2 linked regions of the Tamandua tetradactyla genome follow. The protein of the gene in region 1 interacts with the protein of each later gene in a biochemical or structural test. Links are inferred from orthologs where the notes say so. Each region holds a gene or a part of one and is shown on either strand. Other genes may lie near its edges.

The links.
Region 2: the proteins of CCKBR (region 1) and CCK form a complex in vitro, tested with the Homo sapiens proteins (3 studies listed by BioGRID). The link is inferred for Tamandua tetradactyla from reciprocal best matches to the Homo sapiens genes CCKBR and CCK.

Annotation. Positions count from the first base shown.
Region 1 is NC_135334.1:79,677,676-79,685,007, reverse strand, and holds the start of CCKBR (gastrin/cholecystokinin type B receptor), read right to left. Parts: upstream 3,168-7,332; 5' UTR 3,067-3,167; coding exon 2,916-3,066; intron 1-2,915. UniProt on the Homo sapiens protein: Receptor for gastrin and cholecystokinin. The CCK-B receptors occur throughout the central nervous system where they modulate anxiety, analgesia, arousal, and neuroleptic activity.
Region 2 is NC_135341.1:45,024,025-45,032,164, reverse strand, and holds the start of CCK (cholecystokinin), read right to left. Parts: upstream 3,246-8,140; 5' UTR 3,202-3,245; intron 2,199-3,201; 5' UTR 2,197-2,198; coding exon 1,983-2,196; intron 1-1,982. UniProt on the Homo sapiens protein: This peptide hormone induces gall bladder contraction and the release of pancreatic enzymes in the gut. Its function in the brain is not clear.

The sequences.
Region 1 (7,332 bases):
AGAATAAATGTGCGTAACATCCAAATTTCTATAGGTAACATTTATATGAGGCTGAGTGATAAATGTACCTGTCACTTCTGACTGCCTGGATAACATCCGAATGTGTACGGCTAACAATATCCAGAGGGGCGAGGCCAATACTTGCGTCCGTGCTCTATTACTCCACCTCCTATTTTCTTAGGCATCCTTGCTCTATTGACACCCCCTCTCCTGCGCCTTTAACCTTCCTCTGCCCATCAGTACTCTTAAAGTGCTCTTGTCTCTACTACACCATGCCCCCCTCCTGCCCCTGCCCAAATCCAAAGGACAAAGCTACACAAACACATCCACAACTCCTTCTAAGGACTTCCTTGTTATTTACTCCAAAGAACACTGCTCTGTCTTTATCTGACTTGATTTTTTTGCCAGCGTTTGAAATCAATTACCCCATCCTGCTGGAAACTCTATTTTTCCTTGGCTTCTGGAAAGACATAGCTCCCATCTCTCTAATAGTTTCATCTAAATTTCCATGGACTCTCCTTCCTCTGCCTGGTTTTTGAAAATTGGACTTCTGCAGGGTTTTGCCTCAGGTTCTCTTTTTCTTTCATTCTATACAATCTTTGGGTGATTTTCACTATTCCCATAACTTCCATTATCTCCATTGGCAAAAGGCTTTCAAATGTGTATTTCCAGCTCAGGCCTCTCCCCTAAATTTCAGATCCATGCATTCAACAGTTTTCAGAACAACTCCATCTGGGTGTCCCACTGACATTTAAACTCAGTGGGTTCCAAAGTGAATTTATAATCTCTTCTGAATCTATTTTCTGTTCTTTCGTTATCCTTCACATTATATAGAACCAATACCCATCGAATACATTGCCCTAGCCAGAAACCTGGTTGTCATCCCTGGACCTCTTCCTCAGTCTCCCCTTTTAATCAGACACCAAGTCCTGTTGATTCTACTTCCAGAAGTAGTTCTCCAAATCCATTCACCTCTCTCCTTCCCTCTGCGACTCACTTCATCTAAGCCAGTGTCATCTTTCATATGTATCACTGTAATAGCATTCTAAAGTATCCCCCTGCCTTCCATCTCAACAACTAGTCCCAGTTTCAGTAGTTTCTATGGCCCTCAGGATAAAATACATACTCCTTAGCTAGATATACAGTATTCTCTATAAACCCTCTAGGCTCCAGCCTGAGTGTTCATTACTCCTCTCTTAGGGAATTTGATACAGTCACACAAAAATATGTCACATTGAGTAAAAGTGCCATGGATTTAAACTTTGGGCTTTCACACATCCTGCCTCTCTGCTTGGGATTTTTTCTTTTTTACCTGTTCTGCCCCATTCACCCTTCTGGCTCTCTCTCATTTTTCTGATTTCAAATTAGATGTCACTTCCTCAGAAGGCCAACCTTGATTTCCAAGGCCATGTGCCCACAGCCCTACCAAGGTATTTTCCATTTTGTGCTGCAGTTCCTTGGTTACTTGCCTGTCTCCCATACTAACCTGTGAGCTCCATGAAGCAGAGACTGTGTCAGTTTTGTTCAATTCATGTCCCTGGCACCTAGCACAGTCTCTTGTTCAGTAAACATTTTTGAATGAAAGAATCTGAGTGTGTGTGTGAGTGTGTATAATAACGGAGCTGAGAAAGCATGTGTTATTTTGTGGCATAAATAAGTACTCAGACCACAGTTTATTTCAAGTTTCTTTCCCTTTTCGGGCTTGGAATAATTTACTTCTGCTTAATACTTTTACCTCTCCTGGAATACCCCTCTTTCCTTTTCTGCCTACTGAACTCCAACTTCAAAATTTGGCTCCTGGATTCCCTTCTCTGTGAAGTTAGTGGACTCTGTCAGGCTGTGGTAATTAGTTTTCTCTTTTGGGTACCCACAAGTCAGACCCTTTCATAGTACTTCCTATGCTAACTGTGCTATATCCACGGGCTTGTCTCTTCTCTATACTTGATTATGAACTGATGAGAGCCGAGACTGGGTCTAATTTTTCCTTGTGTCCCCAGAACCTAGCTCAGGGACTAGGATAGCAGATGTACACTAAACATTTAAGGAAAGGAGGAGTGCAAGAAGGGAAAAATGATGTACTTTGAGCTGGATCATCCAGAAAATGCTAAGGTGAGCTGATGGGAAGAGTGAAATTCATTTTGGTGGTGGTGGTGGTGGGGGGGACTGGGTGATTGGAAGCAGTCCGAAGGAGGTAGGAAGAGAGAAGGTGGTGGCACAAAGGGATGGAACCAGTCTCTGTGAGGATGAGCCCTAAGGAGAGACAAGCTATGCTAGGGGCTTGGAGGAACTTAGCGACATCACTTGGAAACAGAGAAAGAGAAGGTAGAGAGCTTTGAGAAGAACTCCAGCTTGGGAGGCAGAGAGGTTTGAGGATGAGTAAAATAGAGGCAGACAGCTCTGGGGAGCAGCCCCCAGGGTCCAGCCTAATCCAGGCATGAGGATGTCATTTGGGAAGGCTAGGGGGTGGGGTGGGGGACACAAGAAATAACTCAGCTTCCCATCAGGCCTTCCAGAGTGCTCTTCCCACAATCTTGTCCCCACCTTCCCCCCAATCTTTCCTTTCTTTCTTCTCTTCCCCTGTATGGCACTGTGGATGGGATGTACAAGAGAGACCTGGAAGGTTTGGCAAGAGAAGGTCCTTGCTTCTCCACTGTCTGTGTCAAGGAGGGGGATGTGTGTTGGGGAGGGGGCTGTGTTTTCAGAGAAGGTCTGTGAAGAGGCTGCGATGTGATGGAGTTGTAAGAACTGTGGGGCCCCATGTGTGAGAGAGGCCGTTTGGGGGCTGAGAGAGTGCTCTGAGGGGGACGGTGTGGGCGTCCGAGGAGGCAGTGTGGAGGCCGTGGGGGGCCGCTCTTAGAGTCCTGAGGTGCTGTGAGAAGGAGCTTGTGGGGGGGGGGGCTTAGGGAGACACCCACCTCGTGTCCCGGCTCCGCGGAGGCGAGGGGGGTCGCAGCTGTGGTTGCCAGTACTGCTGCTGTTGAGGAGGAGGCCCCCGGGACGGCACAGAGAAGCCCCCGGCCCGGGTCCGGGTCCCAGCACGCTCCGATTCAGCCTCGGTAGCTCCATGGCCCCCGCCGGGCCCGCCGCCTCCCTCAGCTGGGCCGGGCGGACTCCTGCAGCAGCTCCACCTGGGCGCGCGGCGATTCCGGCTCAGGCTCCCACCCCCGAAGCGCCCCCAACCCCGGCCCCGGCCCCTGCCCCTCCACTCCCACTCTGCGCGCCGCGCCGAGGCTCCCGCCCCTCCCCGGCTCGGGGCCGCATCTGTCCCCCCAGGTGACTCCTCTGCCCACCCCGTCCCGCCCCCACCCCCACCCCTGCGTGACTGTTCTCCGAGGCTCGACCCCCTCCCTAGATGTCTCCCGTCTCCTCTCACAGATTTCCTTCCCGCCAGCCTCCCCTCCCCTCCACCGCCCTGGGTTCTGGGGAATTCTTGGCTTTCGCTGGGGAGCGTGTGTGCTTGCGTGCGTGTGTGTGTGTGCGTGTGCGTGTGTTGTGTGTGTGTTGGCGGGAGGGAGAGTTAGAGGGGTGAGGGAGGGCGCGGCTGGCGCGGAGCGCTGCATCTCTCCCGGGTGGAGCAGGGACTTGGAGGTGTCGTCGGAGGCGGGGTCTGCTCGCAGGGGGCACCGGCCGCGGCGCGATGCCTCACCAGGTGCTCAGCGCCGCGGTTACCAGAAATTGTGCCGCAGTGGCCTCAGCCATCGCGGCACTGTCGCTGCCATCGTGCCCTGCAGCTCCTCGCGTGGGCCTGGGGTAACTGCTGCAGCTGCCCCGTACCCTCCGCCTTCTACCGCCCAACACCCAAAGAGTCTTCAGCAGCGGGCATGGTTGGGGGTGCAGGACAGTTGTCCCCAGGGGTCTCCTGACAGGGGAAAGTGCTGCCGGGAGCAAGAGTCTGCCTTGGCTGTCGGAGTCCGCCTGGGGTGGTGACACCTGCCCAGGATAAATGGGGGGTGGTGGGTGATTGTGAAACCTTGTGGCTAATGTTCCCTTTATCCAGGGTATGGACAGGTGAGAAAAACAAAACAAAACAAAACAAACATGTAACCCATAACAAAATCCGAAATATATTTACTAATTGTTGCACTGTGTTTTGAAATTTATTGCTTTTTTGTATATATGGTATTTTTTCACACACACACACAAGTCGATTGTGATGAAAAAAATACTCATTTCCTCTAATCCCTAATGTTCTGGAGCAACTAGAAGGAAAAATCTGAGATGGTATGGTTGCCCATGACAAACTCTGGGCTCTGTCCTGTAACTACTTGTTGAAGAGTCCTTTGAAAACTGTTGCTTTTTTCTTTCTTTGCTTTGTATCTACGTTATATTATACAATTTAAAAAGTTTAAAAAATAAGGACAAAAAATAAATAATGGGGGTGGACAGAAAGTAAAAAAAAAAATGGGTAGTTTGTGATATTAGTGATCAGGGAGAGGGATGGGTAAGGGGTATGGGATGTATTTATTTTTATTTTTATTTTTTTTTCAGGAGTGATGGAAATGCTGTAAAAATGATCACAGTGATGAATACATAACTATTGTGAGCCACTGATTGCATACTTTGGATGGACTGTATGGTACATGAAGATATCTCAATAAAATATTTTAAAAATAGCACTATCTTTTTTTAAAAAATTGATAAATTAGACTTCATCAAAATTTAAAACTTTTGTTCTGTGAAATACACTGTTAAAAGGATGAAAAGACAAGCTACTGTAATGGAGAGGCTGAGCCTACCTTAATTATGCCTAAGAGTCATCTCCAGAGGACCTCTTTTGTTGCTCAAGTGTGGTCTCTCTCTCACTAAGCCTGGCTCTGCAAGTAAACTCATTACTCTCTCCATGTGGGACATGACTTCCCGGGGCATAAGTCTCCTTCGCAACACGGGACATGACTCCTGGGGATGAGCCTGGCCCTGGCATCATGGGATTGACAATGACTACCTGACCAAAAGGGGGGAAAGAAATGTAGCAAAATAAGGTTTCAGTGGCCAAGAGATTTCAAATAGAGTTGAGAGATTACTCTGGAGGTTACTCTTATGCAAGCTTTAGCTAGATATTGAAAATTGCCACAGTATACCAAGCCCCAATCAATAGTATTCCTAAAAGCCCTAAAGAATACCCAGGGCTCTATCTGAGCCTCTATAAATGTTCACTCACTAAGTTTACCTTTCAGAAACCTAAAACTTTTCAGATTGTTCTTATGCCAGATAAGTCCTGAAACCCAGAGGTACCTGTCTCACCAAGAACCTCAACCAGTTGCATCTCCCTACTCCATAATATTGACACCCCTTTTTAACATGAAGAGTTAGAGTGGTCATTGCCCAAATATCCCTAAAGATTGGGAGAAGGATGAAAGGAGAAGCAGGAATTATAACAGAGAAGATAGGATTTAACAAATGAGTATGACTGCTGAATCATTGTATTGATATTTCTTTTTAGTCTCCAGTGTATTAGAGCAACGAGAAGGAAATAACCTGAAATTGTGACACTGTAACCTATACCATACTTTGAAATTTGTTTTATAACTACTTGTTCGATTGTACTCTGAAATTTATCAATATTTGCATATATGTTATATTTCACAATAAAAATATTGAAAAAAAAAAAGCAATGGGCATGGGGGTGGGTTGGGATATGGTTCCAACCTTCCGCGGTCTCCAGGCAGCACTCACCCCTACCCGACTCGCTGACGCTCCCTGTTTGCTCTCAGGGCAGGTGGACCTGCCTGTGTAGGGCAACAGGTTCCCACGAGAGGGGGCTGGAAGGGGGTTGGGACACTGGGGTGAATCAGGAACAAAGATGAATGGGGTGTGTGCAGGATCTGAGGTGGGTTCAGCTACTTGGAGCAGGACTTACTTCTCCTAATATTTCAGCCCAGGTGGCCGTCCACTCTCCTCTATTTCAAAGAAACTCTACAATGAACAGAAGTTGCATCCTCTGGCTATTCAGTAGTTGTAAGAGGTGGGGGCATCAGTCAAAGGGCGGATTAGAGTGGTGATGGGGTCTGGGTTTATGGGGAATTCAGAGTCTTTATCCAAGCGGTCGTGTAGGGAAAACTTGGTCCAGCCAGCTGCTCCCTCTTCCCTTCCTCCTGGCACTGCCTGCTTTGCCCAGTGAGAAAACCTGGACCGGGAGAGCTCGGCTTACTGTTTGTTCAGCTTCAGCCCAGGTGGGGCCACAGATAACCTACTGGATTTTTTTCCCACATTGGCTAGAAGGAGGGGGTGGGGTGGGAGAGCAAAGGGAATGTAGGGGAGAAAGGAGTGGAAATAGGAGAGGTAGACGGGCAGTCACTTATTCAGCAAACATGTGCCAGGTATAGGGCTGCACACTAGCTGTCTGATACAGTCTGTGCCTGAGTGGCTCCCAATGAGGTAGGCAGAGAATGACAGATGTGCCAAAGATTGCAATATATGGTCATAAATGCATCCACAAAGAGGCACAAATCAGAAATTTAGGAAAATTCCTTGATGCCTTGCTTTCTTTTCTTCCTGTAGCAGAGGCTGTTGTTCAAAGCCCAGACTCCCCTTCAAAAATGAAGGTTTATTCTCCAGCTGCTGGAAGGCTGCTGGCAGACAGCCCTTCAGGGTCCCCGTCCAGAGTTCCCTGAGCTGAAGAGAGCAGGTTCATCCAAGGTGATGTTTCTTTCCTGGGGTATTCTGTATCCAGTGACTGATCAACACAAAGGTATAAAGGTCCAGTCTCCTCTCCCCAGTGGAGGACAACTCTGAAAGACCTCCACAGTCCCAGAGCGCCTCAAGAGGTTGACTGAGGCCTTTGCTGGGGCCACATTACTGATCAGCTTCCTCCTTTGCCCAATTTGGATTAATTTCTTTCTCTTGCATAGATGTTGACTCCAACAGCACTCCTTAGCAAACATGCTACATGGTAATCTCTGTGTTATAGTCTGCATCCCAGAGAACCCAAGTGCTTCACTCCTATTTTCAGTCAGTCATGAAGTTCTGTTGATTTTATCTAAGTATTTGAATCAATCTGCTTCTCTCTCCCTGACATTACTCTATTGTCATCCTGCTCCCTTGCACTACTCTTCTAGGTTCCTAAACAGTCCACTGCATTTAACTGATGCCTCCTTACATCCATCCTCCACCCTATAACCAGTGATATTTTCACGATATAAAATCTGATTGTGCTACTCTTCTGCTGTTTGCTTTTGGGATAAAGAGAAAACCTTATAACAGGCCCTCAAAGCCTGCCTGGCTCCTACTGACCCCTCTAGCCTTATTTCAAGCCACTATGGGATTGTTCTCTCCACTGTAGACATACTGACTTTTCTTTAGCCCCTTTTATTTGCTACATTTTCTCCAGCTATA
Region 2 (8,140 bases), on another chromosome or scaffold:
TAAGAAAGAGTCAACACAGATACAGCATCAGGGGTTTGCTGGGTATAGGGCAGGTGCGCACTAAAGGTTAGATTCCCTACCCCATGCCCCAAATAGAACTGCTTCTCCTGGAAGCTCTGGACAATTCCTAATGATATACTCTTGAGCACTACCTTTTTGTGCATTACATCTTAAGACCTTTAAGCATAAAATACACTATAGTTGAGTAAAAATCTGGCATGATCTTAAGATATGTAAAACATTGAAAAAACTGAACAGTATTTATTTCTAGTTTATATCGGCCAAATAGATGATTATGATTATTTTCTAGCTGCCTCTAATCATGGATGCTGGCAGCTAAAGTTCCAAGTGATGGTCATATCCACCAGGTTTGTTTGGCACAAAAGCCTGAAAGTGAAGGAAGAGGGGGCTGAGACGTGATGCTAGGAAGAACTTTCCAGCTAAGACGTGGACTATAGGAGTCACTATCAAGTGTATGTTATGGGAAATAATGTAGTAACTGGATTTTTCTATAATTATTTCTCTGTGATCTTTCCTGAAGGTGGGGAAGCAGGTATGGAGTTAATTCTCAAATTTTCTTCCAGATTTATGGCTCAATGAAAAGCCTAGGATACTTCAGATGATATGGCTGAAATTCAATGCAGGGGGTGTAAATTACATAACCTTTAGACAGACAATCAATGGGAACCCAAAAAGTTTTCAGACTTTCTCTGTCATTTAACGAGCATGTCCATCTTTTCCACATCTAATTAGCAGGAAGACAAAACAGAAGGTGGTAGCAGGAACAATTTTCCAAAGAGAGGAAGAAATATAACAAATCACCCTCTGCTCTTTCCTTCTGAAATCCCCTAGTCAAAAAGGTTCCAGTTCATATGAAATCATAGGTGACTGCAAAGCCATGACCTCTATTTTTTCCCCCTCTAGTCAAGCCAAGAGTGAAGGTTCAAACCCAGGCCCTAGCATGCAGCAATACGAGAGTTTCAGTAAGGGAGCCCACCTCCCACTACCCTAGCTGAATGGTTTTACATCCCAGCTGTGCTAGTCCAGCTGCACACACTGTCCCACAGCTAGGGGACTCACTGCGGGCAAAGTTGGTAGAAGGGCGTGCCCCCAGTCCAACTCACGATGCCCGAGGACCACAAGAGATGGATGGATAAGCCTCCCTCTGAATCACAGAAAGAGCTGGAAGGGGCGTAGGGGAAATCTAGCCTCATCCCTACTTAAAAGGTGAGAAAGGCAGACCCAGGAAAGGGACAGGACTGTCCACATGTGGGTGAGCTGCTGACTCACCTTATCCTGGAGAAAGGTTTGATGCTGATAAATCTGTGGTTTGTTCAGCTTTCTGCAATTGAGATAATCTCTCCAATTGCAAAGTAAAAATATATATTGTTGAGTAATCATTTTTTTTAAGTCTTTGCCAAGGTGAGCTGCTGATTCTTCCCTCCTGTTAGATACTTCGGTAAACACTGACCCTTGGTCACTTTTTTAAAAATGCTGTTGTCAGATCTGAAGCATTCTGCAGCACTGATATCTTCCTGCTAGAGGATTTTCAGACTCAGTACCTGGGTGGCTCTCAGTTCCTTCGCATTTACCAGGGAGGGTATTTAGTGCATCAGGGGGCCCTTTTTGAGGGTTCCCCAAACATTCTTCAAATGTCTTCATAAAGCGGTGGTGAACTTAAACAGCAACGCTATGCCAAAAATTAGTTCAAAGAAAGCTTTTTATAAATGTTTCCCATACTAATAAATTAAGTCCCTTCGTACGTCCCTCTCAGTTTGCCAAAAAGGACGTCCAGAAAACTGCACTGACCCTTGCTGTGTAAGTGGGGAATCGAACATGAAAAAAACTTTCAGCTTAACGTGCTTCGTGCTTTTCCTCCCGCGGGGTCACCTACCTCCATCAGTGGGCGCTAGAGAAGAGCGTCTGGAATGCGAGCTCTGCTCAGGGGCAGAAGTGAGGGACGGGAAGGGGTCTCTCCCTACCTTTCCGGGCCTGCTGGATGTATCTCGCCAGCAGTGTGTTCAGGTGTGCCCGCGGCTCGCCGTCGGTCCTTTGCACCGCCTTCAGCGGCCTCCGCAGTACTTCCTCCGCGGGCGGCGCCCCGGGACCCACGGGGTCAGCCCGGGGCGCGGGCTGCGCTAGGGCGCCCACCGCCAGTATGACCATCAGCACGCACAGGCACACGCCGCTGTTCATGGCTGCCGAGAGCAGAGGGGAGAAGGCGTTAATGAAAGGGCGGGGCACCCGCGGGCTCTAGCGAAGGGTCTGGGCGCTCGGGATAGGCCAGGCCGGCGCAGGCACCAGGGTTCGCCAAGCAGACCCGAGCCGAGTGGCCACAGCACGTGTGCCCCGATGCGCCCAGGCTTGTTTTTTGGGTACATCACACCCGGTGCCCGGAACGGGAAGGTACTTCTGTCCTCTATGATGTTTAGCAGAAGGAATATTTTCAACTATCCTTTAGTTTGAGGAAAATATTCGTAGAGCATTTCTGGTCTCCTAACTGGAGAAGCAAAAGATTAAAGTGTAAAAAATATCTTTAGGGAAAGGCTCCATGCCACTTGAAGAAAGTAGCTCTTTTTCCAGATACCCAAGAGGCTTTCAGTGGAGAAACAAATGGTGAGGAAAGAAAAGCACAGTTAAAATAATGGGAGCAATAAACAAAAGTCAGATTTATAAAGTTTCTTGCAGGTGTATATGGGAATCATTATCAAACCACTGCACAAAACACAAGTAGGATTTTTAAAATCAGCCTTCAGTCTTTGGCAATGCCTGGCCAGCATCTAAAACACACCTGCACATTTCAATCCCCAAAGCCCTACATTTTTTCTGCAGTATTTAGAAAATGGATTTAAAGCTTAAAACCTCTTGGTGTTTTATTAGAAGAGATCCCCAAAGTACACAGCACCTCTATGTAAAATCCAGCAAAACCCAATTTGAATGCTAATCCTTGCAAATGGACATTAAAGCATTGTTAGCATAAGAGAAGAAAGATGGGAGCGTGTGAAAGTCTGTCATGCAGCTTTACCCACCCGGCTCCCAATATTAGATACAGCACGGCTATTTCTGACTTTATGTCATTCAAGCTGTCGTAGAGAAGGCATAGAAAAGAGAAAAACAAAATGGAAAGGAGTACAAAACTGAAGACAGCATTCCTAGGACAAATGACACTTGGATCCCTCGCCAGCGAGCCGGGACACCTACCTTTGGAGTAAGCAGGACGCAGCTGGCAGTGCGCTTCCACCAGAGCAGCCCGGCGGCCGAGCCAAGTTCAGGGTGGGCGGGAGGCAGGCTCTTAAATAGCCCCGCCCGGCGCTGCCGTCCAGTCCCGTATTTACCCAGTGCTGACGCAGACCCGGAGCAACACGTGCTCAGGTGGCGGCCACTGGGGCGACGACCGATTGAGGTGGCTCCTGGGGGAGAGGCGAAATGGCCCACTGGAGCCGGGTTAACCCCTCCCCAGAGGGGTGCCCGGGACCCTCCGCTCAGCCCCCAGTACTTCCTTCCCCTACCCGGCGCACCGCCGTCTCCCCCGCCCAGCGCCAGCGTGGCGTGCTTCAGGACAGACCTGGGGGTCGGAAGGACAGACCTGGGGGTCGGCAGGACAGACCTGGGGGTCGGCAGTCTCCCCCCGGACGGAGAAGCTGCCCGCCTTTAATCTCCTTCGGGGATCGGATGGGCCAGAAAGGACACTTGGGGGACACGAGGCAGTGCTGAGTGTCAGCAAGTGTAATTCTGAGAGGAGGGGTTGTCGGCCCCTCTCCCAGAATCCGAGGCAGCTCTGCTCTTTCAGCCAACGAGTGAACTCCTTCAGGGGTGGGCAGAGGGAGTCGGGGTCCTTTCTTCTCAGCCCATTAAAAGCCCTCGAAGTTCTTCAAGATTCCGGGAGCAAGTGTCCCGGGTCAGTGAAAAGGCTCGGGCCAGAGGTGCCTGCTGGCACCCCAGGCCTCGCTGTACGCAGCTGTAAAATGGGAGTGACACCGTCTGGGTTTGGAAACGGGCTGTCTTCTTCCGGGCAGTCACCACCTGCCGCTGCCCCTCGTAGCCGCCAAGTGGCGCCAGCGAGTGTCCCAGGGAGACCGACCCCCTCCCCGCCACGCCGCGTTCCCGCTCGCTCCGGCGTCCGCCCCTCCTTTGGGGACAAGATGGGCCGGAAAGAACACTTGGGGGACACGAGGCAGTGCTGGGTGTCAGCAAAGTGTAATTCTGAGAGTCGAATTAGGATCCCGCTCCCGCATCACCCACCCTTGGGGAAGAGGCAAGGGAGGCTCTAAGGCTGCTGGGCGCGCTTCCTACGGCGACCCCGAGCCCGCGCGCGGTGGTGGACTTTATCCTTCTTGCCCCGAAGCCATTTAGCTGGTGTCCGAGGTCGCCTTGTCCCCGCACAGGGATGACCGCTCCCATTTCACAGACCGCAAACCGAGGCGCGCGGAAGAGCAGCACGTAGCCGAGGTCCACAGCGCGCCTTGACCCCCACTCCCTCGCGCCCTCAACTCCTCCCCCTCGCTTGCTCTCCTAAGTCTCCGACGCGGGGTCGAGGATCTGGAAGAGACTCCTTCAGAATCGGAATCCGAACTCACTTGGGACGGGACTCCGGGATGAGCCGGGCTGTGGGGGGCGCCTGCGTGGGCATCGCGGCGGACGGGAAGCTTGGCGCGGGGACCACTTTGGTTGACCCCGCTTCCCTTTCTAAATCAGAAAAGCGACTGTTTCTACAACCTGAAGCTGGTATTAGCTTCTTAAAAACAGAGCAGCTGATGAAATGTTTCCCAGTGGCTTTCCCAGGAGGCAGTTGGGGAAACCAGTTTTCTTTGTGACCGTCGCCAAGGCATGCCGACAACTATAAACTTGTTATTGGTCTCAAACTTTAGCTGCATGGGAATCACCTGAAGGATTTCCTAAAACGCTCCCAATCCATGGACAACACAGTGAACCACAAGTTCACTTAAGGACTTAAGTTAAACCATGGGCTATAATTAATAGTAAAATTATAAACGTGTGTTGTCATCAGTTGTAACAAATGTACCACACCAAGGCAAGGAGTTAATAATAGGGTGGTATATGGGAATTTTGTATTTCAGGAATGATTATTCTGTAGATTCACACCTTTTCTAACTATGGGGAAAAAACCCACATTTAAAAAGTGAGCACTTTTTTTAAAAAGTTCCCAGGTGATGCTGGATGGTCCTGTTCTGGGAATCACACTTTGAGCACTGCTGCTCTCGGACATTTCTTACCTTAGCCAGTTACTTAACTCCCTTCTCTTCATCCATTTGATTAATATTTAACTGAATACCCTACTTTGTGCCAGGTGCCTGGGATGCAGTGCTGACATGCTGACACAGGCTGATGGTATAATGGGGCAAATGGAGGGGAGGCAGCAGAACTGAACATCAGATGCTTCTGATGAATTGGGAAGAGGGATATGGGGTTGGAGATGGGAAATGACCCCAGAGAAATGTTTTGATGAGGGAGTGAAGGAATGAAGTTCAGGTTCTGGAAAGATCAGTCTGGTTGTGATGGGGAGGGTATTTCAAGGGGAGAGAAATTGGACAGTAGGGACTGGTTAGAAGGGCACCTGGAATCAAGATAGTTTTATAATTAAAATAATCAACCAGTTTTTACATTATAAAAGTAACAAGTGCTCATAAGAAAACCTCCAGACAATAAATGAAAGTTAAGAAAAAGGAAAAGTTCAACCACCCAAGGGCAACCACTATTAAGAAACTGGAAATAGCAATGGGGCTTGGTAACTGAGGCTGACCTTGGGTCCCAGGTTGGAAGGCAACCTGAGTGGTAGAGTATTACCCAAGACAGAGAATTCAGGAGGAAAAACAGATGTGGGGTATGAGAGTGGGTAGGGGATGAGCTACATATGAGATTGAGCTCATTATTTTTGCATGGATAGTCCAGGAGGAGGTTGAAAACATGAGCCTTGAGCTCAGGACAGGGGGGGCACTGGCGATGTGAACCCCCAGCCTTTGATGTGAACATGGAGGTCAACCCCGGGGGAAGTATGGAGTGCTGGGTACCATGGAGACAGCTCTATTCAGACCCCTGAGGAGGACAGGATGGAGTGAGTAGAAGAAGGGGAGCTGATAAAGAACCAGAGGAGTGGTCAGGAGGCCACAGAGGAAAGGCCATAGGTGACAAGGACTATCAGAGGCGGAAGAAGAGCCTTTGTAATGAGCCTGTTTCATTTACCATAAAGGTGTAGCCACCTTCCCTCCAGGAATGGGAATTCTGGGCAGGGATGTGTTATAAAATCCTGTGGGGAAATAAAAGAAACAAAACAGATCTGAACTTCTTAGCCACAGTAATGATTTTACTTAATGGCCAGGGGGACTAAGAATTCTGACCAAGATGGACCTGGGATATGGCGCTTTTCCTGTAAATGCATATGCATTGCACTAAAGGAAATCTATTTGTTCACTAACAAATATTTGCATATTGCTTTCTGAGGCGAGTGCTTTTGTGCCCCACGTCCCACCTCTGGCTCCACCTCTGGCTGCAGCTGGACTTCCAAAATGCCCCTCTCCACTTCTCTGCAAAAGTTCAGCCTGGAGGTACTTGAGTGTTAACTCCCCTGAAGAGAATCCCCAAGCAGGAAACCTGCTCCTTCTGAGCCCACTCTGGATGCTTCTGGATGCTTCCCAAAGCTCTTGCAGTGTCCAGCCCCCTTAGCCTGAAGCAGTGACCTTAACATCACTTTAATTGACTTTTCTTCCTTCCCTGTCTCACTCTTCTCACTTCCTCACGGCTGCTCCCTGGGGTCATCTCCCAAATAAACCACCTTCCCCTAAGTCCTCCTCTGATCTCATGTCTATCAGACACTGTTGGGAAATGGCAGCAAGTGAAACAGACGTAATCCCTGCCATCGTGGCCCTCTCATTCCAGTGAGAGAGACAGGCAATGTGTAAGACGTCATGGATGGACACAAATGCTAACATAGCCCAGTGAAAGTTATGGGGAGGGCTGAGCACCTGCAAACCTCTGCTTGAGGCTCCTCTGTTAGACTCTTTGACATGAAGACCTTGCTGTGAATATTAAAGAGATATGGTTTTGATTTGCAATCCAAATAAAGCAAAAGGAAGGTGTAATGTGGTTTCACCATGAATGGAGGTTGTTCTTGTATTTCATCAAGTGTGATGGGGTAATTAAATTTTACCCTAAACCCATTGGCTTGTCCCAGAAAAAGACTAGAAAAGGACCGTGCCCTCTCTGTGCTCCCTGCCCCGTCCCGTCACTGAGGGGGACTCACCAGCTGGGGCCCAGAGCTTGTGGTGTGGAAGTCCCCTGCCTTCAGCAGAGGGCTAGAAGCAGAGTGAACAGTATGCAGATATTGCATTTGAGAGGGAATGGTGGTAAGAGGCATCCTTGGACTGTTTTCTGGTTTTGGAATCTAGTAATTTCCATCTGTGTCTGGTGAAACGAATTTAAGTGAGGTTAGGGCCAAAGTCAGGGAGGCATCCCCCCAAAGCAGGTCCTGAAACAGATGTGATGCTTTCAATGTCGGATTTTTCAGCCATGGAAGCAGCTCACAGACAGGTGACTATTTTGAATTTGTAGAAAACTTAGGGGAATTTTCAGGCGCATCTTACTTTATTATTCATAGAATTGACACTTGTTATCATAACCCCAATTCAAAAGAGGTCAGGAGGCTGTCTGCTGTGTTGGCAAGAACGCTTGGTCCAGCTTCTGTTTGGGGTCTTGCATTCTTTCTCCTGACCCCCACATATTGGAAATGCCATTAATTGTACTGGAACTTTTTAAAAGCCCACATGATCAGTGTCACTTGCCATTAACTGGAGTGATTTGACAAAAAAGAAAGAGATAGGTGTGGTCATTATGACCCATGAGTGTTTTCTTTTCCTAGTAAAGTGTTTCCTTAGAATATCTTGTCTTAAGTAAGGTTTCCACAAAAGCAGGGCCTGAGACCAAGGTGAGGGGGTTTACTTGGGAGATACGTTAGTTTCTTAGGCTGCTTAAGCAAATGCAGCAAATGGGTTGGGTTTAAACAATTGGGAATTTCTTCTCTCACAGTTTGAAGCTGGGAAAAAAGTCCAAATCAAGGCGTCATCAAGGTGCCACTTTCTCCTCGAAGGCCGTGGTGCTCTGGGGCTGGCTGCTGGTGGTGCTTGGT